Callithrix jacchus: one gene and its partners. The protein of the gene in region 1 purifies or fractionates together with the protein of each later gene. This does not show direct contact. Links are inferred from orthologs where the notes say so. Each region holds a gene or a part of one and is shown in the gene's direction. Other genes may lie near its edges.

Region 1 (4,126 bases):
TGACAAAGAAGGAACACTAATCCAGGGGGACAAAAGTGAGATGATGGGATAAGAAATCTGGGGGCTCAGAACATGGGATATCTGGGGAGCAGGCCCCAAACTCGCTCAGCCTGTCCTCGCTTCACCCTCCTTCACCAGCTTCCAGATTCCAGGGCCTCTCCGGGGCCAGGAACTCTTCTGTGCCCCGTGCTGTGATCACCTGTGTACTCTGTCTCTAGCTCCAGGCTGGCTGACGCCTGCATGCCAGAGCTCCTGTCTGTGTGCCCAGGGCAGGCCCAGTACCTTTAGGGGTTTGGTGATCACGAGGGCTGTGGGCACTCAGAAGGATGGGAGGGTGCAGACTGAGGGAAGCGTGAGGGAGGGGTGGGCAGCCTTGGCCCAGGCCCCCGCCTCCACCAGACACTCGGGAGGATGCGTGTTCCCTTGACAGCCCGTGCCGTGAAAGGGGTGGGGTGAGGATGATTCCCGAAGGACAGCTCGGATGCGCTCTGCCCGAGACAAGAGTGGGCAGATCCCGAGCGGCGCCGAGGAGGCGAGACGGGTCAGCAACCGGTCAGAGCGGTGAGGAGGGCTTGCCCCGGTCCTGGGGCACTGAGGCGTCCAGGGTGCGCCACGTCTCGCGGGAAGAAGGGGTCCGCGTTCCGGAGGGTGGGCCGGGGAGACTTCCAGCTTTCCGTGCCACGATCTGGGCCGGCATCCCCGCCCAGGAGCGCTCGGCCACAAACCCGAGGGTCTCCACCTGAAGCGGGCGGCTGAAAGGAAGACCGTGCAGGCCAGGGGCGAGGGTCGCGGGCGCAGGACCGACCCCGGGACCGGGGCAGGGCACCGCCTCGTCCTAGAAGCGCCACGTCGGGGCTCTCGCAGGTCGGGTCACGGCGGCGACTGCGAGGGGCGCCAAGGAGTCCCCCTTTCCCCTGGCCGCCGGCACGCGTCTTCGCAGCGTATGTGGCATCGCGGGTGCCAGTCGCCGGAGTCAGCCGCACAGCCCGGACTCACGCAGGCGGGAAAGAACGGAGCCAAACGCTCGCCCGCCCGGCCCGGGAGCTGCTCAGGGACTCACTTCCCCGCTGGGGAGGCGGGGCGGCCACGCGGGCTCCACCAATCAGCGGCCAAGGTTCGAATTTGCGTCCTGGCGCGGCCAATGGTGGGCGCCCTGAGCAGACGGGGTGGGCGTGGAGGGCGGGGAATAAGGCGTGTCCGAGGCGGGGCGTGGGCGAGGCCGCCGGCGGCCCCCCCGGGCAGGCCAATGGGAGGGCCGGGCGCGTTTGAAAACTGGGGCGGGCGGCGGGGCGGGGTCTGCGCCTGCGCAAGGGATAGGCGCGCTCCAGCCGGGGCTCGGGCGCGCTCTCAGGCGGGCTCTGGCTGCAGCTACGCGAGCGCCGCGATGGGGAGCGGCGGCGGTGAGTACCGGGAGATGTCCGCCGGTCCCTGCCCCGCGCCCCTTCTGCCTGTCCTGAGGGGCGGACGGCGGGTCCCGCGAGAGGAAAGACCCTGCGGCCTGAGGAGGGCGGGCTCGAGCCCTTTAACCCCGGGGCGGGGGTCGCGTTCGGCGCGGGGAGCCGCAGCGGCCGGGCGCGCGGTTTAAATGCCCTGCGGGCGCCTGAGCCCTTCGGCGTCTTCCCTCGCCGCGACGTTTCCCAGCCAGTTCCCGGAGCGGCAGTGGGGTCCCGGGGAGCCAAACACCAGCGCCTCCTGGCCGGGGATGGGGCTGCGGAGCGCGTGGGGCGAGGCGATCCCGCGGCCCTGCCGGTCCTGACGGGGCTTCCGTCCAGCGGGGCCGTAGACCCAGCTCCGTGGAAAGCCGCGCTCGGCTCCGCGCGCGTTGAGGCGGGGGAGCCCGAACTGCGGGTTCAGTTATCATCACGGCGATCGTCACACGACTCCAAGTGTCTGTCCTCGAGCCGGGGAATGAGGACTGTTTAATGGGGAGGTCTTCAGAATCTGAGAATTTGTAGCTCTAGACTACGTTTGGCTTTTGCAGCTGATTTAATTGCTGAAGGGAAGACCCAGGGCAAGAGAGGGGAGCAGGGGGCGATCGCTGGGAGGTTCTGGCGCGGAGAGGCTCGGGCCCACAGAGGGGAGTGGCGTTCCCTTTCAGGACTGGAAGAAGAATGGACAGAAAGGTAGATTTGGGCCGGGCGCGGTGGCTCAAGCCTGTAATCCCAGCACTTTGGGAGGCCGAGGCGGGTGGATCACGAGGTCAAGAGATCGAGACTATCCTGGTCAACATGGTGAAACCCCGTCTCTACTAAAAATACAAAAAAAAAATTAGCTGGGCATGGTGGCACGTGCCTGTAATCCCAGCTACTCAGGAGGCTGAGGCAGGAGAATTGCCTGAACCCAGGAGGCGGAGGTTGCGGTGAGCCGAGATCGCGCCATTGCACTCCAGCCTGGGTAACAAGAGCGAAACTCCGTCTCAAAAGAAAAAAAAAAAGAAAGGTAGATTTGTACATGGGGAGGCAGGATCCTGGGGTTCCTCCCTGAGGGCTTCTGTTGTCCTATGAAATAAGGGCTAAGGTCATCTGCTTAGAGTGAGGAAGGGGTTGCTGGGGTAGGAATTGGGAAATCGGACTGTGGGGAGAGGAGAGCAGCATGGCTGGGCTGCCTGCCTGGTGGGTGGAGAGCCTGCCTCACCTTTAACGATTGCACCTGTACGCAGACCTACAGGTTTAGGTTTGTGTTGGGATCTGAGCAACAACCTTACTGTGTAGCTGTCAACCCCACATTCTGCAGTGGAGGACACACTGAGACTCAGGGGCCTGGCAGGTCTGCAGAGCGCAGACTCGGGCACACACTGCCCCCGGCCTCCAAGTCTGTGGCTGCTCTCCATGGCCGACCCTTCTAATTTGGACTTGAAAACACGACGCTTCAAGCCCACAGATCCTTAGTGAACATTACGCACCCTGGTCATGTGTGGCAAAAGCAAGCTATCCCCCAAAGGCCCCAGGGGTCCGTCGAGAGGAGAGTCCCTGGCTGAGGAGGGCGGGCTGGAGCCCTTTAACCCAGGGCAGGGGTCGCGGGGTAACCAGGGGCTTTCCTCAGAGTGAATGTGAGGAAAACCGTCCTCAGCCTTGGCAGCTTTTTCCCCTCCCTGGGTGTCTGTGGGCCCTGGATCAGAAGGTTTCCCAATAGCTAAGTTACATGATGGGTGCCATTTGCCAAATATTTGTTGAATATTTGAAAATGAATGATGTCCTCTGTAATTCCTGCAATGCCACTCCTATGCGTAATCTTTGTTTGAGACAAGAAGCATGATTCCTTCTTTTGTGGTGCAGGGAATAGTAACCGTTAGATCATCTTCAGATGGAAATTTATCCTTTTTTTTTCCTTTAAGGGTTGTATGTAGAGTAACTTTTCATCTTATCAAGGCTTCTGTCTCTTTTTCCTTAAGTGGTCCACTGTAGGTGTGCCAAGTGTTTCTGTTATCCTACAAAGCGAAGAGTAAGAAGGAGGCCCCGAAACCTGACCATCTTGAGTCTCCCCGAAGATGTGCTGTTTCACATCCTGAAGTGGCTTTCTGTGGAAGACATCCTGGCAGTCCGAGCTGTGAGTCCCCAGATGGAAACAGCATGAGCCCTAGCGTTGTTGATTATACCATCAAGGCCTTGCGTTCTTAAATGTCAGAGCAAAGCTGGCTAAAAAGGAGGGCAGGCCAGGTGCTGTGGCTCACGCCTGTAATCCCATCACTTTGGGAGGCTAGGAGGGCAGATCGCTTGAGCCCAGGAGTTCAAGACCAGCCATAGCAAGACCTCGTTTCTACAAAAAATACAAAAGTTAGCCCTGTGTGGTGGCGCATGCCAGTACTCCCATTACTTGGGAGGCTGGGGCCGGACGAATCCCTGAGCCCGGGCAGTCCAGGCTGCAGTGAGCCATGATAGTGCCTCTGCACTCTAGCCTGGGCAATGGAAGCGAAACCCTGTATCCAAAAAAAAAAGAGGAGGGCAAAGGAAACAAGGACATTACCAGATGCTTCCTTTGAGACATTCTGATTACAGAAATTTCTATTGCTGTCTCCCAGCACACTAAGGTTGCCGCTATTCATTGTGGTGTCAACAGAGAAAGTACCCTTTTATGGCAGTGAAATTTGCATCCCTTAGATAACAGAATAGTGTTTAAAAGGATAAAA
Region 2 (4,278 bases), on another chromosome or scaffold:
TGTTTTCCAGGATCTGCTGTTCCTGTTTATGACTAAAAGGGAAACAAATCGCAATTCTTTCACTGTTATTATTATTATTATTTTGAGATGGAGTCTCGCTCTCTCACCAGGCTGGAGTGCACTGGCACTACCTCGGCTCACTGCAACCTCTGCCTCCCGAGTTCAAGCGATTCTCCTGCCTCAGCCTCCTGAGTAGCTGGCACTACAGGCGCATGCCACCACACCTGGCTAATTTTTCTATTTTTTGTAGAGATGGGGTTTTGCCATGTTGGCCAGGCTGGTCTCGAACTCCTGACCTCATGTGATCCATCCACCCGCCTCAGCCTCCCAAAGTGCTGAGATTACAGGCATGTGCCACCATGCCTCTAAGAGTGATCTGGCAGTCACACCTCTGCAAGGTTAGAGATGTCAAAGGGAGTCCTGGTCTAGGCAGAAATGGGAGAGTGACACGAAGTACAGGTGCTTGTGCCGGGCGTGGTGGCGTACTCCTGTGAGTACTCACTGTGGGAGGCCGAAGTGTGAGGATCGCCTGAGACCAAGAGTTCGAGGCCAGCCAGGGCAACATAGTGAGACATTGTCTCCATTAAAAAAAAAAAAAGATCAGAATGCCTCACAAAATTCAAGAAATACAGTGACTTCAAGTGGGTTGGTTTCATTATAGCTCAAGCAGCAGACAGAGGACACGGACCGGGAAGAAATCACCCCACGCAGATGACAACTGAGGAAGGGGGAGTGGGGACTGACACGCTATAGTGAAGCCGGGCACCCCAACCAAAGGCGGTCCTAGGACTGCGACTAGGCGGGCGCAGAGGCCACCCCCCAGGCTTCGCGGGCGGGTGAGGGCAGGGCTGGGGGCCTGCTCAGTCTGGCCTTGAGGAGGGCCTTCTGAGGTCTCCCTTCTTCCCATCGAATCCCCGAGCAGTTCCCAAACAGAAATCGGAGACCAGACGGTGCCTGCGCTCCAGCCCTCTCAGGAGGACTGCACCTCGGGCCTGGCTACGAGGCGGGTCAGAGTCTGCGAAAGACCAGCGAGGGCTCTCGGGTTCTGGGGTAGGCGGCGGGTACCCACCCCCGCGCCTTCCCCAGCCCGCACTGGGAGCTGCGCGGCGACCCGGAGAGCCCGACAAGCCGGGTAGGGCTGCGGCGCAGGTCGTGCTCATGCGGAGGAAACAGCCGCCGCCCCAGCTGACGGAGTGTGGTCGGGGGCTTCCCAGAAGAGGCGGCGAGAGCAAACCCTTTCGAACATTTCCACCAGGCTAGCTCACGTAGCCTCGGCCCCGCCCCAGCCACTCCCGCCACCGCCCCCACCGGCCGACACGACGCGGGTGGGGCAATCTGCGCCAGCCCCTTTAAGAGGCGTGGTGACGTGCTCCGCCCCCACCTGCCTCTCGCGCGCCAATAAGGGGTGGGGTGTGGGAGGAGGTGCCGGGAGGCGGGGGAGTGAGGCGTGCACAGTTGCGCAGGCGCGGTGGTCGGACGACAGATCTTGTATTTCCAAAATGGCGGCAGCGATGGATGTGGATACCCCGAGCGGCACCAACAGCGGCGCGGGCAAGAAGCGCTTTGAAGTGAAAAAGGTTGGGTCTCGCCAGCACCTTCCTCAGGGAAGCTAGAGAGGCGCGGATCTGGCTGGCAGGCCCCAGGATGGTCGAGGCGCGGAGTAAAGGGTTTCATTTCAGGGCGTTCCTGGGACCGGGTACCACGAAAGGAAGCCGGGGGGCGGGTCTTAGAGTTGATCGGCGTGACGGTGGCCCACTGTCAGGGACGTGTTGGTTTCGCTGTGAGGCTGAGGGGCCAATCACGGAGCTGCTTATTGAGATACGCGGGGTTGCGATTTGGCGGCAGGAGCCAAGCGCTTGAGCTGTCACTGGAGTGGTCGAGGTGGGGGAAGGACAGGGTGGGGTAGGGTGGGTGAAATGGGGAGTCGGAGTGACTGCGGCGGTGGAGGATGGGGCAGTGCGGCGAAAGCTGGGAACAATCTGAGGTCGTACTGCATTGGAGGCCTCTGAGGGACCCCGCTGGTGATCTTGCCCCGCCCCTTTTTGAAGCTTGGGGTCCTCTCACTTTGAGGAATCCAGACTTGGTGCTCGCCGAACCGAGGCCTCCATTAACCCCATCTCTGGGCCTCACACCGTCTAAAGAGTCTGGAGTGTAGTGCTTGGCTCTTCTGAGACGTCTGTTGTCTTTTCACATAACCATCTCAGTCCTGGGTTCTCTGTCACGTCCAGAATCTCCCCCTTCCAAAATAAAAATAAAAAGCATGGTGGCATTTGTTAAGAAAATCCGAGCCCAAATCCTGTGGCATTTAGGGAGGGTTGAGTACTAGTCGTGAATGACTTGGTAAGAGTGGAAAAGCAAAAATGGAACGTGTCTTTTTATATGAAATGCCTTTTAGTGGTTTGCCACAGTTTGGGGGACAGTGTCGATTCCCACCTAACATGAAAGCTGTTCAAAATGGAGATTCTGAAATAGGGAAGATATTCCTGGAACATCTGGTTAAACACTGACATATCCCCCCTCCTAGTGCTTTTTGGTGTCTCATTGTGGCCACTGCTGCTCAGTTACAGCCAGCAGCCATATTGAAGAATAATAGAAGAGGGGCTTTTCCTCCAAGTTGAAACTGTGATGTGAAAAGTGGGAAAGAAGTTATAAGGCACTGAGAATGGGGTCTGAAAGTGATGAAGGTTTGGCAGTATTCGTAACTGAGGAAGCCAGAGTGGAATAACTGAAATGCCACTTTTAGTTAAACTCTTACTGGAATTATCTCAATACAAGACATAAAAGTTGGGAACATCTGTTTATTTTATGGTAAGAATCAAACAAAATTCTAGTGAATTCTAGAATTTGTTATAAAGTAATCTTCTAAGATTTAAGTGATGACCTTGGTCTGTGTACTGACACGGGTACTTAATTATCCAGCTTATCCCATGATTATCCATTTTATGGTCCCATGATCATCTTAGTTCATTCTGTTCCCTAGCTTTCACCTCACTGCTCATGCTTCCGGAGCTTCCTGGAAGAGCAGATACTCACTCAGATTTTGAGCTCTTCTGCAACTGCCACAAAAACCTGCACAGTAATTCAAGTTTGTGTTTATTAAGCCTACAACGGGCAGTTAAAAATTGTTCCTAATTTGTTTACATTGATACGGCTGACAATTATTTTATTTCATTTTTTTGAGGCAGAGTCACCCTTTTGCCCAGGCTGGAGTAAAGTGGCACCAATGTCAGCTCATTGCAACCTCTGCCCCCGAGGTTCAAGCAGTTCTGCCTCGGCCTGCCGAGTAGCTGGGATTATAGTCAACTGCCACCATGCCCAGCTAAGTTTTGTATTTTTACTAGAGATGAGGTTTTGCCATGTTGGCCAGGCTTGTCTCAAATTCCTGACCTCAGGTGATCCCCTCGCCTCGGCCTCCCAAAGTGCTAGGATTATAGGTACAAGCCACTGTGCCTGGCCACTAACTAAATTGTTTTATTTTATTTTATTTTGAGATGGAGTTGTGCTGTTGTTACCCAGCTTGGAGTGCAATGGCACGATCTCGGCTCACTGCAACCTCCGCCTTCTGGGTTCAAGCAATTCTGCCTCAGCCTCCCGAGTAGCTGGGACATCAGGTGCGCACTACCGTGCCCAGCTAATTTTTGTATTTTTAGTAGAGACAGGGTTTCACCTCGTTGACCAGGATGGTCTCGATCTCTTGACCTTGTGATCCACCCGCCTCAGCCTCCCAAAGTGCTAGGATTATAGGCGTGCTCCTGGCCAAAGTATTTTAAACTATAAGAAACAAAAGATGACTCATTAATTTCTGTGTTGACATACGCAGCCTTTTGGAGAATGGGAGAACATACGTGTAGTCTACCGTTGTCCTTTGATATAATAAGAATAATGTAATATCCAGAAACTTGTGTTTGGTGGTTCCCCATGGCCGAAGAGGTGGTAACTGCAGCTGCAGCATGAAGTCGTAAAGAGTGTGTGTTACAAGGAGAATGCATTGTTCCCTCTTTTTGTCTTTGCAGTGGAATGCAGTAGCCCTCTGGGCCTGGGATATTGTGGTTGATAACTGTGCCATCTGCAGGAACCACATTATGGATCTTTGTAAGTAATTGGAGGAGGATGGGAGAAAGTTGAGAAGGTTACAGAGATTGTGGCTATCTTGATGTGACCAATTTTCTTCTTCACAAGGAGATAGAAGCCTATGCTGAGCACTCGGTCTTCTGTATCTAATCTGTTGATGTGTTGGAAATAGAGTAGTTTTTTTATGATGTCCTGGAAGCATACCCA
Region 3 (3,500 bases), about 17 Mb from region 1:
TTTAGTCTCAATGAGAAGCTTTTTGTTTTTTATAGGGAAAAAAAAATTGGGCGGGCATGGTGGCTCACACCTGTAATCCCAGCACTTTGGGAGGCTGAGGTGGGCGGATCACCTGAGGTCAGGAATTTGAGACCAGCCTCACCAACATGGAAAACCCCGTCTCTACTAAAAATGCAAAATTAGCTGGGCGTGGTGGCGAATGCCTATAATCCCAGCTACTTGTGGGGCAGACGCAGGGGAATTGCTTAAACCCGGGAGGTGGAGGTGGCAGTGAGCCAAGATCACGCTATTACACTCCAGCCTGGGTAACAAGAGTGAAACTCCATCTCAAAATTTAAAAAAAATAAAATTTATAAAGCCCAAGCTTCATTTTCATTGACTTTGTTCTATTTGACATCAGTAGAACACTTCCTGCTGAATTGGGTGGGGGATGGTCCACAGGCTCAAGAATCATATGAATACCTGGCTGTATACTTGGTCCCATGTCAGACCAGATGTGCCTGGAGCTTTTGTAGGGCATGCTATCTGTGGTAGAAATTTGAGCCTGATATGTCTTGAGTTCAGTTACACAGTCCAGAGGATCTTTGATACTTACTTAAAAACCTTAGAAAGCTAACTTAAGCTCGGCCAGGTGCATTGGTTCACACCTGTAATCCTAGAACTTGGGAGGTCGAGGCGGGTGGACCATGAGGTCAGGAGTTCAAGACAAGCCCAGCCAACATGGTGAAACTCCGTCTCCACTAAAAATACAAAAAGCTGGGTGTGTTGGAATGTGCCTGTAATTTTGGCTACTCAGGAGGCTGAGGCAGGAGAATTGGCTAACCTAGGAGGCAGAGGTTGCAATGAGCCAAGATAGCGCCATTGTACTCCAGCCTGGGTGACAGAGCAAGACTCTGTCTCAAAACAAAACAAAACAAAACAAAAACGAAAAAAAGCTAACTTAAGCTGGGCTCAGTGGCATGTTCCTGTATTCCCAGCTACTTGGGAGGCTGAGGCAAGTGGATAGCTTAATCCCAGGAGTCCAAACCAGTCTGGGTAAGACCTATCTCAGAAAAATAAATAAATAAATAAATAAAACTAAAAAGCAAACTTGAGTATTTCTGACCTGTTTTTCACACCTGTAAAATGAGAGCAATATTTTCTTCTCTCAACCTGTTTGAAAGGAAAGGTTAGCTTTTGTAAAGTATGTGTGTAAGAAAATTATCTTAAAGCACAAGGGTTAGTCTATATGTTGGCCATTTCTTTGGTGATAAAAACCTGAGGTTTGGACTCTCAGTGAGCAAAATATAAGTACCATATTAATATGCTTTAGTCAATTTGCTTTGCTTTGTGGTAATATATAGGCCGTATTATTGCATAGATGACTTTCTTCTTACTGTCATCATCTTTCATCCGTTGAAAGAAAATGGGAAAAAATGGAATTTATCCTTTTAAATTAATTTTTTATTTAATTTGTCAACAGAGTCCTTCAGCCAAACCAAGGACAGAATGCACCTGTTCATAGGCTACTTAGTAGACAAGGGTAAGAATGCCACACACAGTTATTGGAAACTATGGAAACCAAGATTAGGTTCAGAGGGAAAAATAAAGCCGTGTTCTTTACATAAAGGATAATGGTTTTTCAAATGTGATTTTTTTTTATAACATTGGGAAAGGTATTTTAAAGTTTTGTCTTCAAATTTAGCCCTCCTAGCATACTGTTGTGTATTCTAACTCCTATCTTATGTTGGCATGTTTTTACTTTTCATTTCATATCATTTTACTCATTAAGTATTTAAATATCCATATAGTAAATTCATCATCACCGAAGTGATTCTCCAACAGAGTATGAATCATGCTTGTAGTCTCCTGCTGAAGCCAGAGTTTAGCTTTCCTTGCTGTGCACATGCATGAGACTCCAGTTCTTTTGAAGCTTATTTGTGCTTTGGACAGTTGATGCATTGTGATTGCTTTCTTTGAATTTTGAACATTTAGACCTTAATGCCAGTGACTTATTAATTTTTTTATATTCAATTAGAACCCCTAAGACATCAGTGAAGGGGGCTGTGCAAAATAGACAGAAGCCTTCACAGAGCAGAGTGCCTAACAGAGTGCCTGTTACAGGTGTGTAGAAAATGAATTTCTGAAGCCCATTCAATAGAAGGAAGTGCACAAGCCGCCCCGTAACTCAGGCCACAGAAGTGGAATAGATTGTCTTTCCTTGCCACCATAATTTTGGCATATTCACGGTCATCCAATTAGTGTTCTTTGGTCTTAGCATTTCATGGTAGTCAGGAAGTCTTAGTAAAACTGTTATTCCAATCTTGATTTCTTTAATATTTCTATAATATGGAAAACACCACGTATTTTTAATTCTGAAAAAATTGTGGAATTTTTTTCACCATGCTTAATTTATTAAATAAAACCTTTTTATTTAATGAATAAAAGATAATGATTATCTCTGGTGCTAAGTCTATGCATTGTCTGTTCAGCTTGGGGAAGTGTGTCTGCACATAAGGGGATGAAACCTTTCTCCCTCAAACTGTAAGATCACATGTGAATATGCCAATGGGAGGAGGTCTTCATATTTTGCTCAATCAGAAGCTTGAGCTGAATCTCTCCTTATGTTCATCATCTGAGGATTAAGAGCTAAACTAAAAACTGTGTTTTAAAATTCTGTTTATGGTGGCAAGAAGACAAACTCATTCTTGAGCTAATTCAAAACTCTTAACCAAATGCTTTAATATTTTTAAGGTATCTTTGTTAAGACACTTTGATTAAGCTCACTTAAAAATTATGTGATCCATTTAAAAATACTTTCCAAGTGTTGTGCTTTAATTATACTGCTTTCTGGACATTTACAAGAAACCTAAATTACTCACCGGGCATTGAAGATTAAACCTCTAATCAATTCTAATCTTTCCATTAATATATAATTAGGTAAATTTGAGAGCTTTTATTACTAAGTGATTCCCTTCAAATTAGGGAGCAAGCTATTGATCGTAACTTTGAAATGATGGCTTACCTTTTGTATGTATGTAGTGAATGTAATTCATAGTGTCACTCATATATGGTATAATTTAAAAGGTCATCTTTGGAAATTGTTGAGTGACAGTTAATGGAATTGTCATAAAGGGTTACATAGCTGAAGGTGCTGCCTGCTCCAGAGGCAGTCAGAATAAGCTAGTTTGAAAGACAACCATTTGAAAGGACTCAGACCAAACACCAGATCTGTGGAATTTTAAGACATTTTCTGTTTTTCCCATGTTAATATTCTGTATTGCACTGAGTCTTAGCAAGTTGGAAAATCATTGAGGAATTAGTATTATTTTGCCTGATATCAGTTTGCCACAGTGACTACTCTCCATGTTTTTTTCTCATGCATTTCATCTCCACTATTTGTCACTTGTGAACCTGTAAGCAAAATAGCAAGTACTGTTTTTATTCAGCAATACTTAACAGTATAAAGGATTATAGGCAGTCATTGAAGTTAATAACATACAATGAAGTTTATTATTTTG
Region 4 (3,500 bases), on another chromosome or scaffold:
TTTTCAATGATATGGGTATATGTCAGTTGATTTATCTATTGTACTATTCATGAACATGTGAGTCATTCCAGCTTTCATGATTATGTATGATGTTGTCATGAATACTCTTAAACATGTCTCCTGTGCAAGAATTTCCCTAGACCTAGGAGCAGGACAGCTGGATTGGAAAATATGCAGACATTAACTGCCCTGGATGAATTGTACCAATTCATGCTTTCCACTGGCAGTGTATGGCAGCCCCTTATTCTACTCCCTGCCAACACCTGATATTGATACAGTGGGATCCCTTGAACATGGAGTTTTGTGCTTTTGGGTGTTTAACTAGCTGATCTTAGATCCTGATTGCTGGTTCACAGATGGAGGCAAGTGTTCACATTTGGCAATGACCTGGATACAAATGATAAGTGGCTTCCCCCTATGAAGAGAAAGGATTGGCCGGACATGGTGGCTCTTGTCTGTAATCCCAGCACTTTGGGAGGCCGAGGCGGGTGGACCACTTGAGGTCAGGAGTTCAAGACTAGCCTGGCAAACATGGTAAAATACCATCTCTACTAAAAATACAAAAATTAGCCCAGCATGGTGGCATGCACCTGTAGTCCCAGCTGCTCAGGAGGCTGAGGTGGGAGAATCACTTGAACCAGGAAGCAGAGGTTGAAGTGAGCCGAGATTGTGCCACTGCATTCCAGCCAGCCTGGGCAACAGAGTGAGACTCCGTCTCAAATAAAAAAAAAAAAGAGAAGGGATTACAAAATGTGCTAGATAACTGATGGTCAACTGTAGCAAAAAGGCTGACCAAACCAAACCATCTTTAGACAGGGCACAGTGGCTCACAGCTGTATCCCAGCTCTTTGGGAGGCCAAGGCAGGAGGATCACTTGAGGTCCGGAGTTTGAGACCAGCCTGGCCAACAAGGCAAAACCTCGTCTCTTATAAAAATACAAAAATTAGCCAGGCCTGGTGGCGCACACCTGTAATCCCAGCTACTCTCTTGAGAATCACTTGACCAGGGAGGCAGAGGTTGCACTGAGCCGAGGTCATATCATCCAGCCTGGGTGACAGAGCAAGACTCCATCTCAAAAAAATAAAAACTTCACTATCCTGGATATTTTTAACTTCATGGTTCAAAAATTTATATTTTTTTGGGCCAGGCGCGGTGGCTCACGCCTATAATCCCAGCACTTTGGGAGGCCGAGGCGGGTGGATCATGAGGTCAAGAGATCGAGACCATCCTGGTCAACATGGTGGTCTGTGCCAACATGATGGATGCGCCATTGCACTCCAGCCTGGGTAACAAGAGCGAAACTCCGTCTCAAAACAAAACAAACAAACAAAATTATGTTTTTTTGTTTTTGTTTTTGTTTTTTGAGATGGAGTCTCCCTCCGTTACCAGGCTGGAGTGCAGTGGTGCAAGCTCGGCTCACTGCAACCTCTGCTTCCTGGGTTCGAGTCATTCTCTTGCCTCAGCCTCCCAAATAGCTGGGACTACTGGTGCGCACCACCACATCCAGCTGATTTTTGTATTTTTAGTAGAGATGGGCTTTCACTATGTTGGCCAGGACAGTCTCAATCTCCTGACCTTGTGATCTGCCCACCTCAGCCTCCCGAAATGTTGGGATTACAGGCGTGAGCCACCACACCCAGCCCCCCAAAAATTCATATTCTTAAGTGATAACAGCCTTTATTAATAATATTCTGTCTACAAACAATTCTCCTGCCTCAGCCTCCCAAAGTGCTGAGGTTACAGGTATGAGTCACCAGGCCATGAATCCTTTCAACTTTATGTGATTAGGTTCTTTTTATGTTTGTTTATGTTAATGATACTATTAATATGTAATTTTTATGAGTAGCTGTTATCAGGGAAATAAGCTGAAAAATTACCATTATTTCTTTTTTTCTTTTTCCTTTGAGATGGAGTTTCCCTCTTGGTGCCTAGCTTGGAGTGCAATGCACGATCTTGGCTCACTGTAACCTCTGACTCCTGGGTTCATGTCATTCTCCTGCCTCAGCCTCCGGAGTAGCTGAGATTACAGGCATGGGCAGCCATGCCTAGCTAATTTTGTATTTTCAGTAGAGGTGGGGTTTCTCCATGTTGATCAGTCTGGATTTGAACTCTCGACCTTAGGTGATCCACTTGCCTCCACTTCCCAAAGTGCTAGGATTACAGGCGTGAGCCACCGCGCCCAGCCATACCGTTATTTCTTTCAACAGAATTCTAAACTCCCAGCTGATCCTAAGAAATGTCAGCCGGGCGCGGTGGCTCAAGCCTATAATCCCAGCACTTTGGAAGGCCGAGGCGGGTGGATCACGAGGTCAAGAGATTGAGACCATCCTGGTCAACATGGTGAAACCCCGTCTCTACTAAAAATACAAAAAATTAGCTGGGCATGGTGGTGTGTGCCTGTAGTCCCAGCTACTCCGGAGGCTGAGGCAGGAGAATTGCCTGAACCCAGGAGGTGGAGGTTGTGGTGAGCGGAGATTGCGCCATTGCACTCCAGCCTGGATAACAAGAGTGAAACTCCATCTCAAAAAAAAAAAGAAATGTCATACTCAGAACATTTACAAAGCTGTTTAGCAAAGGAAACTAATCTCAATGGTTAGCTTTCCTCACTTACTGTTTTCTTCCCTTGTCTCCATTTTAACCCTTACTTCAGACTCTTTCATCTATTTCAGAGTATTCATGTAGATTCTCTCAGGCCTTTGGGGCTGCTATTATACAACAAAGCACAAAGACTATCTTATAAACAGCAGTGTTTCTTTCTCATAGTTCTGGAGGCTGGATGAAGACAGATCAGGACACTAGCATGATTCTGGTGAGGGCTCTTTTCCAGGTAGCAGACTGCCAACTTATTGTATGGTCATGTGACAGAGCTAGAGAAAATTCTGTGGGGTCCCTTTATGAGGCACTGAACCCCATTCATGACCTACTTACTCTCAAAGGCCCTACTTCCTTACACCAGTCATATTGAGGGTTAGTATTTCAACATGAATTTGGAGTCACAAGAGGTACAAACATTCAGACAATAATATGTGTTTTTAAGATTGAGAAGTAACACTTTGACAAACATTTTAACAGGTCTTTGTTTCTAACTAAGCTCTTGTTTTCTTCTTTTTTTTTTTTTTTAGTTATTACCCCATTCAAGTTGACAACTGAGGCAATGCAGACTCCAGTCTCGAATAAGAAACCAGTGTTTGATCTTAAAGCAAGTTTGTCTCGTCCCCTCAACTATGAACCACACAAAGGTATTTAGGAGTATATTGAGCTACAGGGCCTGTGAAATAGTTAAGATTGGTGGGGCACGGCGGCTCACATCTACTAAAAATACAAAAATAAGCCAGGCATGGTGGCACATACCTGTAATCCCAGTTACTTGGGAGGCTGAGACAGGAGAATCGCTTGAACCCAGGAGGCAGAGGTTGCAGTGATCTGAGACCACACCACTACACTCCAGCCTGGGGCAACAAGAGTGAAACTGTCTCAAAAAGAAAAAAAAAAAACCTTAA
Region 5 (3,500 bases), on another chromosome or scaffold:
CTGAATATTTTATGCTTGTTGCAGATATTTAGTTTATTACTTCTTCAAACTAAAGCTTTGTTCATTTTGTTCTTTTTGTTATGGATGTGAAAGAGAAAAGGTTATTTGTCAAGTTAAGTTTCCTTACATAGTTATATGTTAAAACATGAAGACAATCAGAATATATATATATATATTAATCTTGTTATAAAATCTAACTTTGTCCAAGCAAACAAGTAACATCTGCTTATTTGGCACATCATCATCTTTGCCAGGAGATTGGTCATTTATTGATTTTCTCAAATCCAAATACAGTCATGCATCACATTGCAAAATTCATCAGTCAGCAGTGGACCAAGTGTACAGTAGAGGTCCCGTAAGATTATAACACTGTTTTTACTGTCCCCTTTCCATGTTTAGATATACACGTACTTACTATGGGGTTACAGTTGCCTGCAGTGTTGAGTATAGTAACTTGGAAGTTTGTGGCCTAGGCGCAGTAGGCTATACCATCCAGCCTAGATGTGGGGTGGCTATGCTATCTGGCTTTCTTTCTTTTTTCTTTTTCTTTATCTCCAGTAATGGCTATCAGCAATGTAGAAGCTATCTGGTTTTATATGATGTTTGCACAATGATGAAGTTTTTATTTTTATTTTTTTTAATTTTTTTGAGATGGAGTTGTTGCCCAGGCTGGAGTGTAATGGTGCAGTCTCAGTTCACTGCAACCTCCCCTGCCCAGGTTCAAGCGATTCTCCTGCCACAACTTCCCAAGTCACTGGGATTACGTAAAGGCGCCCGACACCACACCCAGCTAATTTTTGTATTGTTAGTAGAGATGGGGTTTTGCCATGTTGACTAGGTGGGGTTGGTCTTGAACTCATAACCTTAGGTGATCTACCCACCTCACTCTCAAAGTTCTGGGATTACAGGCATGAGCCACCACACCTGGCCACAGTGATGAAATGGTATAACGACTCATGATTCATTTCTCAGAACATATTTCCATCATTATGTGATGCATGACTGTGTACGTTTGTAACTTAAAATGTTACTCTTTATTGAAGCCTTACAAGAAAAAGAAATGTTGATGCAAAAAAATTAAGAGTATGTCCCTTTTTAATAACTCACTACTATCCAAGGCAGAAAGATTTTGTTATATCCCTTACCTTAATGCTTTTTTCATTGTTTATATTTGAGTTTTTTCCTTCCTTTTGATTTGACCAGCAAAGTGCAGATGAGCCTTTGAGAAGCAGAAAAGTGTTTGTGGGGCGCTGTACAGAGGACATGACTGAGGACGAGCTGCGGCAGTTCTTCTCCCAGTACGGGGAGGTGATGGATGTCTTCATCCCCAAGCCGTTCAGGGCCTTTGCCTTTGTAACATTTGCAGATGATCAGGTATTTTTCTCCTTAACAATATGGGCCAGGTAATTAGGTAATTTCTCTTGAACATTTCCCATCCAGCTAATTGCTGTTCTTAGCTAAGTTTTTTCACCTTATAAGATGTAGAGTGTATGGGCCTAGATGTTCCCCCCGCCCCAACTTTTTTGTTTTTTGAGATGGAGTCTTGCTCTGTTGCCTAGGCTGGAGTGCAGTGGCACTTCTCTTACTGCAGTCTCCGCCTCCCAGGTTCAAGCAATTCTCCTGCCTCAGCCTCCTGAGTAGCTGGGACTATAGATGTACATCACCATGCCTGGCTAATTTTTGTGTTTTTAGTACAGGTGGGGTTTCACCATATTGGTCAGGCTGGTCTTTGAACTCCTGGCCTAGTGATCCACCCTCCCTGGCCTCCCAAAATGCTGGCATTACTGATGTGAGCCACCATGCCCGGCTACAAATACAACATTTTTAAGAAATTTCTAAAAGTAAATCAACCTTTAGATAATTTTCAGTATATGGCATTTGGGAATGTTAAATATTTTTTTTTTGAGACAGAGTTTTGCTCTTGTTGCCCAGGCTAGAGTGCAGTGGTGTGATCTCAGCTCACTGTAACCTCTGCCTCCTGGGTTCAAGTGATTTTCCTGCCTCACCCTTCTAAGTAGCTGGGATTAACGGCATGTACCACCACGCCCAGAGATGGAGTTTCACCATTTTGATCTGGCTGGTTTGAACTCCTAACCTCAGGTGATCCGCCTGCCTCAGCCTCCCAAAGTGCTGGGATTACAGGTGAGAGCCCCCACACACACCCTTTTTTTTTTTTTATACAGGGTCTCACTCTGTTGCCTAGGCTGGTGGAATGCAGTGGTGTAATCAGAGCTCACTGCACCCTAGAACTCCTGGGCTCAGCCTCCAGGAAGAGAATCCTCCAACTTCAGCCTCCCAAGTAGCTAGAACAGGTGCATGCCACCATGCCCAGCTAGTGTGGTTTTTTTGCAGGGTTTTTGTCTTTAATAGAGGTGGGGTCTCACTGTGTTGCCCAGGCTGTCAGACGAGTCTTAAACTCTTGGCTTCACACAGTCCTCCCACCTTGGCCTCCCAAAGCACTAGGATTACAGGCATGAGCCACCATGCCGAGCCTATGTCTTTTGAAAATAGACTGAAATATCACTGCTGCTATTACTAAAACTAAAGCTGTATTGTGGGGTTAAACAAAATGAGCATTCATTGCTTATTTTTCCTCTGGCTTTAGTTAATGCTTGTAATCTAAGTTTTGTTGCTACTTTGATGTATAAATCAGTGGTTTAATCTTATTTGTTTACATCCCTTATTTCTTGTAGATTGCGCAATCTCTTTGTGGCGAGGACTTGATCATTAAAGGAATCAGCGTTCACATATCCAATGCCGAACCTAAGCACAATAGCAATAGACAGTTAGAAAGAAGTGGAAGATTTGGTGGTAATCCAGGTGGCTTTGGGAATCAGGGTGGATTTGGTAATAGTAGAGGGGGTGGAGCTGGTTTGGGAAACAATCAAGGTAGTAATATGGGTGGTGGGATGAACTTTGGCGCATTCAGCATTAATCCAGCCATGATGGCTGCAGCCCAGGCAGCGCTACAGAGCAGTTGGGGTATGATGGGCATGTTAGCCAGCCAGCAGAACCAGTCAGGCCCATCGGGTAATAACCAAAGCCAAGGCAACATGCAGAGGGAGCCAAACCAGGCCTTTGGTTCTGGAAATAACTCTTATAGTGGTTCTAATTCTGGTGCAGCAATTGGTTGGGGATCAGCATCAAATGCAGGGTCGGGTAGTGGTTTTAATGGAGGCTTTGGCTCAAGCATGGATTCTAAGTCTTCTGGCTGGGGAATGTAGACAGTTTGTGGTTGGTTGGTATAGAATGGTGGGAATTCAGATTTTTCTAAACTCACTGGTAAGTATATTGTAAAATACATGTACTAAGAATTTTCAAAATTGGTTTGTTCAGTGTGGAGTATATTCAGCAGTATTTTTGACGTTTTTCTTTTAAAAAAGGAAGAGCTAAAGGAATTTTCTAAGTTTTGTTACATGAAAGGTTGAAATATTGAGTGGTTGAAAGTGAACTGTTGTTTGCCTGATTGGTAAACCAACACACTACAATTGATATCAAAA
Region 6 (2,619 bases), on another chromosome or scaffold:
CTTTGTCACAGAATTGTGAAGAATTGGATGAAATATATATAGAAAGAAATCTTACAAGGGTGCAGAACGTGATGCTACCATCCATTGACAAGAGTTGCTGTCGCCAGTTTTTTCTCAAGCTTGACTTTGTGTTTTGCCACTAGGTGGAGCGATTTAGCCAAGAAGTTCAGATCACAGAAGCCCGCTGTTTCTATGGCTTCCAAATTGCCATGGAAAACATTCATTCTGAAATGTATAGTCTCCTTATTGACACTTACATAAAAGATCCCAGCGAAAGGTGCGTATTCAAGTGGTATGCCAAGATTTTTAGGACTCTTTAATTGTTGATTTGTGGCAAAGTTTTAGTTCATCTAGGGATAAAAATGACTCCAGAATGACTAAGCAGACATAGACATTTCCAGCACCCGTGGTCATGTCTGCTCTTAGCAAGGGGCCTAAATTCACTTTATTATTCACGTAGAGTTGTGAAGGTGCTCCACTTTTAGAGTTGGATGCCTACCAATCTAAAGCCTTTTTTTGAAGGAATTCCTACATGTTGGGTAAGACAAACTAAAACCTATGTCTGACCATCTTTGGTCATTTGGTAAATTTGTTGAGAAACTAGAATGTGGGGCTGCAGCAGGATGAAGGGCGGGGAGGACTTCCTGCTGAGGGGTTGCAGTACACTACAGGCAAATAAGAGGAGTTACACAGGCAGAGGCAGCAGTGAGCCCTGAGATGGATTTAGGTATGCAGCAGTTTGACTGAATAAAGATAGCATTAGGTCTGTTTTATGTTTTGGAGATTGATTGGAGGCGATGGGTTAGAAACGGGCTGTTGGAGTAGTCTAGACACTAAGGTCAGCTTTAGGGACTGGAGCCTCCATATGGAGTAGAAGTGGTGAAGCTGAAACCTAATGTGGCTGTTGTAAAATTAGAAGTGCATGAACAGGAAAGTGGTAACTTGAAAGGACTGAAGAAACTCGTTCTGGGTGAAGAGATTTGAATATGTTTATATAGGTGGAAATTGAGAAAAGAAGGCAAAGATTAGGGGTACGACTGGGGGCAAATGACCAGAAGGAGAATGGGTGGATTCAGGAAGTTCTGGGGAAGCCTCAAAAGCAAGGGAGAGGCAGACCCAGGTCTCAAAGAGAAGGACAGTGAGATGGAAAGAGAATAAAAGGCAGCCAAATGTGGTAGTGTGAGTCCCAGCCACTTGGCACAGCGAGGCAGAAGGATGGCTTGAGCCCAGGAGTTTGGTTTTAACATGAGCTATGATTATTTCACTGCACTCTAGCCTGGGCAACAGAGTGAGACCCTCATCCCTTAAATAAATAAACAGAAATGAAAGCTGCCCAATGTCTGGTGACCTTGGCTTCAGAACACAAGGTCATCTGGTAGGAACAGGCTGAGAAATCAGTAGCCTCTCAAGGTGGGCACCAGAAGAGTGGTAAGGGAGACCCACTTAACTAATACCCATGGATTTACTTTGCTGACCTGGGATTGACAGTGTAGGACAGAATTTTAGTAGGAAGCAATCTTTGTTTATTGGTTTAATTATTTTATGATAGAGATGTGGCAATTGGGGCCAAATAATGCACCCAGGGATAGTCTGATAATAGCATGGCAGTTAGGATTTTATGGTTCTTTAAATTTTATGGTTCGTCACATGGAACTATGACCTGGACTTGAAATAATAAAGGCAACAAATGTCCCTGCTGTACTGACCCACGTTTTACTGTTTGTAGACCCTGAAGCTCCATATGAACTACAGATTACCCACATTTGTATTAACGTAAATCAAATGTTGAGACTTTTAAAAGAACACTGGAGGGAAAAGCTGACCAATAAAAATAAAACATTTTGACATGGGTTCTTCCTTTGAGAAGAGAATCAGCAAATACTTGAATTTGGCCTTTGTCCCAGAGCTCTTATCTAGCAGCTGGTAATCGGGGGTCTTTTACTGTAATACTTCAATTGCTGATGCTGTGTGTGCCTACTAGGGAATTTCTCTTCAATGCCATTGAAACGATGCCTTGTGTCAAGAAGAAGGCAGATTGGGCCTTGCGCTGGATTGGGGACAAAGAGGCTACCTATGGTAAGGAGACCCTTGCCCCCACTTCAGCTTGAGCTTCATTTTCCATGTAATGTTACTGGATTGTTGACCCTTCCTATGAATACCAACAGTTACTCACTAGAATCCTATTGCTGTTAACTCTTAAATAGGTGAACGCGTCGTAGCCTTTGCTGCAGTGGAAGGCATCTTCTTTTCTGGTTCTTTTGCATCCATATTCTGGCTCAAGAAACGAGGACTGATGCCTGGCCTCACATTTTCTAATGAACTTATTAGCAGAGATGAGGTGAGTCTGAATCAAATCATAGGGTAACTGGAGTCCCAGACACAACTCGGGCATGCTCTGGCGTTTACTGATGGGGACCTGAGATACTAGATGGCATATATCCATGTTTAATGTGTGAGTTCGACCATACACATACTTGACAAAAGAAGGAAATACTTTAATTTACTGAAATTATTTTACTTGTATTCTCTATAATACATTAGTATATACCTATTGCCTTATAGGCTTTGAATGTGTAAAAAAGTACAAGTTTGTTTTTTGGGGGAACAGAATCTTGCTCT
Region 7 (3,935 bases), on another chromosome or scaffold:
GACGATGTAGGTAAAATACTGAGCACATTCTCTGGCATACACTTAAAGCCCTCAATATTGGCTCTCTTCATGAACTAGGTACCAATTAACTGATGATCGTAATATTGTTGCTTTCCTCTTTCTAGGCTTTATGGCTCTGTTTTATTTGTTACTGAGGGGTAAAAGATAAATGTTTACCATGACCTAGAATTGGGTTTTGGCCTTTAAAGGAACCTGAGGGTTAGATGAGTTATTGGCTTTGGAAGCTGGCCTCCAAATTACTGCTCTAATTTATATTTTTCATTAAAAACTCAGCTTGCCTCTTCTATATAGCTGCTTTCCCTGGCTCTGAAACCCTAGTGTTTCGCCATAAAAGATTTTAAAATTAAGGGGTCATAATTCTCTCCCGACGAGGTGTGGATTAATGGTAAGAAGGTGCATATAATATAATCTAACTTTGAACGAAATAAAAGCAAAGAGTTGGCTCTGTTTCTCACCTTTGAAGTACAAATCAAGAGATACTATGATGAAGCATAGTTTTTCTTTATATAGCTGTGTAGAACTTTACCAAAAAAAAACACTAGTTCAGGCATCAGAAGATCTGGATCCTAGGCTTTTCACTGTCACCAAGATGCTGTGACCTCTAACCTTGTATGGAGGTTTGCTGTGTGCCTTCCGGGGTTGGGGTTCATACCTGGCGCACAGAAGCGCTCCCCAAACGGTAGGTATCATGTACTAGTACTGAAAATCTAGTCCATCAGGACGATGCAAATGGGTATGTTCGGCAGTGAGAAGGGGGAACCACATCTTGACACCCAGTCGAAGGAAGAGCGCGGAAGTAGGGTCGCGCGGCAGTAAAGACTACGCCTCCCGCCGTGCTTTGCGGCCGGGCCGTCCCGCCTTACCCAGAGTCGCCCTGCAGCAATCGCGCGTCTTTCCACTGAGGCCCCGGATGTAGATTCTCTTTCCCGTCTACGCCGCTCAGTGGGCGTGGCCTCGCTGTGACTCAAAGACTTGGGGCTCTCTCATTGGCTGTAACTCTTCCGCAGGATTGGAAGCAAAAAAGAGGCGGTACCCAAGGCGAACAGCGCTCTGACCACAGCCAATCAGAATCGAGACCGGGCTTTGGCGGGAGGCTGGAACGCTGTGGTAATTTAGATTTGGCGCGAGCGCGGCTGGGTTTTGCTGCTGCTGGTGTGCAGTTTGTTCGGGGCTTTTGGTGGTGAGTCCCTGAGGCTGCGTGTGAGAGACCTGAGAAGGAGCCTGCACTGAGGAGGTGGAAAGGAGAGGATTGCTCTAGGAGGCCTGCGATCTGTGAGGCAGCGGCGTTGGGTGAAGGCTGCGGGTTCCGGCGAGGCCGGAGGTGAAGTGAGGGGAAGAGAGCTGAGCTCGCTGGAGGTCTGAGGTCGGGAATCAGGGAAAGGGCAGGCGCCCTCGGGGTAGTTCCAGCTGTGAAGGAGCTGAAAGCTGTAGGAAGGAAATGTTCTGGGGTGCCTTGAGAGCCGCTTAGAATGAGGCCTGTGTGCAGGGGCGGAGAGACTGAGAGAAGACGGACCTGCAGTGTGAGGGCTTGGGAGAGAAGAGAAATGTGGCGGCTGGTGGGCTGAGCTGGTGATAAAACACCCCTCATGCCTGGAGGAGGGCAATTAGAAGTTCTATACAAATCAGTTCAAGTAACTTTTTTTTTTTTTGAGATGGAGTCTCTCTTGTTACCCAGGCTGGAGTGCAATGGCGCGATATCGGCTCACTGCAAACTCCACCTCCCCAGTTCAAGTGATTCCCCTGCCTCAGCCTCCCGAGTAGCTGGGATTACAGGCACCCGCCACCAGACCCAGCTACTTTTTGTATTATTTTAGTACAGACAGGGTTTCACCATATTGGCCAGGCTGGTCTCGAACTCCTGACCTCGTGACCCGCCCGCCTTGGCCTCCGAAAGTACGGATCACAGGCGTGAGCCATGGGGCCCGGCCCATTTCAAGTAACTTCTTATTGCATTTATCAATTGGTTAAAAACTTGGACTCTGGTGCCAGCCTGGGGTTACATTCCTGTTTTTCTGTGACTTTGGGCCACTGTTTATCTCAGTTTTCGCATCCGTAAAATAAAGGCTAATACTAGTACCTACCTCTAAGGCAGTTGTAAAACAAAACGAGTTGGCACATAAAGTGCTTATAACGGTGGCTTCCACGTAGTAGGTAGACAACAAATGTCAGCTGTTCTTGCATAGATTTGGATGTGAATTAGAACTGAATGCTAAAATATTGTGGTAACATAATTTACTTAAGAAATAAGTGTTAATCATCAGTATAAATAAATTCTATGTTAGTTATTTTCCCTTCACTTTTACCTATTGATTTGTCCTGTTATTTTTTGTATCTAGTTGTGCTGCTGTCATGCCTCAAACCCGATCCCAGGCACAGGCTACAATCAGTTTTCCAAAAAAGAAGCTGTCTCAGGCATTGAACAAAACTAAAAACTCTAGTGATGCCAAACTAGAACTGACAAATGCCCAAATTGTACCCTGTTCTCATGTAAAAGTCCTGCCTCTCAGCCCCAGGAAACGTCTGGGTAAGCCATTTGTTATATCACTTTTTGACCTTTCTTTTCTCAATAAGATGTGTGTCCTTTGAAGGAGCTTTCTAAGTTCAGTTAAGACTTTTTTTTTTTCCCCTCAAGAAAGTCTTATATTGTCTCCCAGGCTGGAGTACAATGGCGTGATCTCAGCTCATTGCAACCTCCGCCTCCTAAGTCAAAGCAATTCTTCTGCCTCAGCCTCCCAAGTAGGAGGGGTTACAGGCACCCACCACCAAGCCCAGCTAATTTTTATTTTATTTTATTTTTTGTTGTTTTTTGTTTTGAGACGGACTTTCGCTCTTGTTACCCAGGCTGGAATGCAATGGCACAATCTCGGCTCACTGCAACCTCCACCTCCTGGGTTCAAGCAATTCTCCTGCCTCAGCCTCCCAAGTAGCTGGGACTACAGGCACGCACCACCATGCCCAGCTAATTTTTGTATTTTTAGTAGAGACGGTATTTCACATTGTTGACTAGGATGGTCTCTATCTCTTGACCTCGTGATCCACCCACCTCGGCCTCCCAAAGTGCTGGGATTACAGGCTTGAGCCACTGGACCCTACCTATTTAATTTTTTTGTATTTTTAGCAGAGACCGGTTTTTGCCATGTTAACCAGCCTGGTCTCTGAACTCCTAACCTCAGGTCATTCATCTGCCTTGGCCTCCTAAAGTGGGATTACAGACATGAGCCATCATACCCAGCTTTTTTTTTTTTTTTTTAACAGTCTCGCTCTTTCGCTGAGGCTGGCGTCCAGTGGCACGATCTCAGCTCACTACAACCTCTAGTTCCCTGGTTCAAGCCATCCTCTCACCTCAGCCTCCTGAGTAGCTGGACTACAGGTGCACACCACCACACCTGGCTATTTTTTGTATTTTTGGTAGAGCTGGGGTTTCACCACGTTGGCCAGGCTGGTCTTGAACTCCTGGCCTCACAAACTACTGGGATTATAGGCGTGAGTTACTACACCTGGCCTAAGACTACTCTTCATTTTAGTTATTTTCAGAATGGTTGCTAACTGCTTACTGAACTCCAGAGTTAAGCCACTTACTGAGGTCACTTTCTGAACTACTTAATAGGTTTAATCTTTGATTCCTTAATACTGAGGTTAGTTCCGTCAGTGTTTTAAGTTACCTTGTAGTAGCAAGATATTATGAAATGTACCTCAATATTTGTGAAATTAAAAGAAAACAGCGACATGCTGGATATTTTCCATTTTTTTCTTGTTTTAGAACAGTGGTTGGTAATTCTCGTTTTGGAATATTTGTTTTTAAATGAGGGATGATTTGGTTGTTTCTGGAGGCATTTTTGGTTGTTACAGCTGGGGGATGCCACTGGCTTAGTGGGTAGAGGCCAGAGATGCTGCTAAACATCCTACAATGCCCT

What was found.
Region 2: the proteins of CCNF (region 1) and RBX1 purify together in Homo sapiens (affinity purification with western blotting, with the first as the bait; 4 studies listed by BioGRID). This does not show direct contact. The link is inferred for Callithrix jacchus from reciprocal best matches to the Homo sapiens genes CCNF and RBX1.
Region 3: the proteins of CCNF (region 1) and CCP110 purify together in Homo sapiens (affinity purification with western blotting; 7 studies listed by BioGRID and IntAct, with this or other methods). This does not show direct contact. The link is inferred for Callithrix jacchus from reciprocal best matches to the Homo sapiens genes CCNF and CCP110.
Region 4: the proteins of CCNF (region 1) and NUSAP1 purify together in Homo sapiens (affinity purification with mass spectrometry; 3 studies listed by BioGRID, with this or other methods). This does not show direct contact. The link is inferred for Callithrix jacchus from reciprocal best matches to the Homo sapiens genes CCNF and NUSAP1.
Region 5: the proteins of CCNF (region 1) and TARDBP purify together in Homo sapiens (affinity purification with western blotting; 3 studies listed by BioGRID, with this or other methods). This does not show direct contact. The link is inferred for Callithrix jacchus from reciprocal best matches to the Homo sapiens genes CCNF and TARDBP.
Region 6: the proteins of CCNF (region 1) and RRM2 purify together in Homo sapiens (affinity purification with western blotting; 5 studies listed by BioGRID and IntAct, with this or other methods). This does not show direct contact. The link is inferred for Callithrix jacchus from reciprocal best matches to the Homo sapiens genes CCNF and RRM2.
Region 7: the proteins of CCNF (region 1) and CDC6 purify together in Homo sapiens (affinity purification with western blotting; 4 studies listed by BioGRID and IntAct, with this or other methods). This does not show direct contact. The link is inferred for Callithrix jacchus from reciprocal best matches to the Homo sapiens genes CCNF and CDC6.

The regions. Positions count from the first base shown.
Region 1 is NC_133513.1:4,375,602-4,379,727, reverse strand, and holds the start of CCNF (cyclin-F), read left to right. Parts: upstream 1-1,326; 5' UTR 1,327-1,384; coding exon 1,385-1,400; intron 1,401-3,391; coding exon 3,392-3,546; intron 3,547-4,126. UniProt on the Homo sapiens protein: Substrate recognition component of a SCF (SKP1-CUL1-F-box protein) E3 ubiquitin-protein ligase complex which mediates the ubiquitination and subsequent proteasomal degradation of target proteins.
Region 2 is NC_133502.1:191,767,907-191,772,184, forward strand, and holds the start of RBX1 (E3 ubiquitin-protein ligase RBX1), read left to right. Parts: upstream 1-1,478; 5' UTR 1,479-1,499; coding exon 1,500-1,577; intron 1,578-4,013; coding exon 4,014-4,092; intron 4,093-4,278. UniProt on the Homo sapiens protein: E3 ubiquitin ligase component of multiple cullin-RING-based E3 ubiquitin-protein ligase (CRLs) complexes which mediate the ubiquitination and subsequent proteasomal degradation of target proteins, including proteins involved in cell cycle progression, signal transduction, transcription and transcription-coupled nucleotide excision repair.
Region 3 is NC_133513.1:20,957,481-20,960,980, forward strand, and holds part of CCP110 (centriolar coiled-coil protein of 110 kDa), read left to right. Parts: intron 1-1,462; coding exon 1,463-1,522; intron 1,523-2,017; coding exon 2,018-2,103; intron 2,104-3,500.
Region 4 is NC_133509.1:45,230,140-45,233,639, reverse strand, and holds part of NUSAP1 (nucleolar and spindle-associated protein 1), read left to right. Parts: intron 1-3,122; coding exon 3,123-3,239; intron 3,240-3,500. UniProt on the Homo sapiens protein: Microtubule-associated protein with the capacity to bundle and stabilize microtubules. May associate with chromosomes and promote the organization of mitotic spindle microtubules around them.
Region 5 is NC_133508.1:48,894,193-48,897,692, forward strand, and holds part of TARDBP (TAR DNA-binding protein 43), read left to right. Parts: intron 1-1,203; coding exon 1,204-1,374; intron 1,375-2,693; coding exon 2,694-3,224; 3' UTR 3,225-3,500. UniProt on the Homo sapiens protein: RNA-binding protein that is involved in various steps of RNA biogenesis and processing.
Region 6 is NC_133515.1:104,869,947-104,872,565, reverse strand, and holds part of RRM2 (ribonucleoside-diphosphate reductase subunit M2), read left to right. Parts: intron 1-143; coding exon 144-277; intron 278-1,981; coding exon 1,982-2,076; intron 2,077-2,204; coding exon 2,205-2,338; intron 2,339-2,619. UniProt on the Homo sapiens protein: Provides the precursors necessary for DNA synthesis. Catalyzes the biosynthesis of deoxyribonucleotides from the corresponding ribonucleotides. Inhibits Wnt signaling.
Region 7 is NC_133506.1:92,974,105-92,978,039, reverse strand, and holds the start of CDC6 (cell division control protein 6 homolog), read left to right. Parts: upstream 1-1,135; 5' UTR 1,136-1,384; intron 1,385-2,357; 5' UTR 2,358-2,370; coding exon 2,371-2,545; intron 2,546-3,935. UniProt on the Homo sapiens protein: Involved in the initiation of DNA replication. Also participates in checkpoint controls that ensure DNA replication is completed before mitosis is initiated.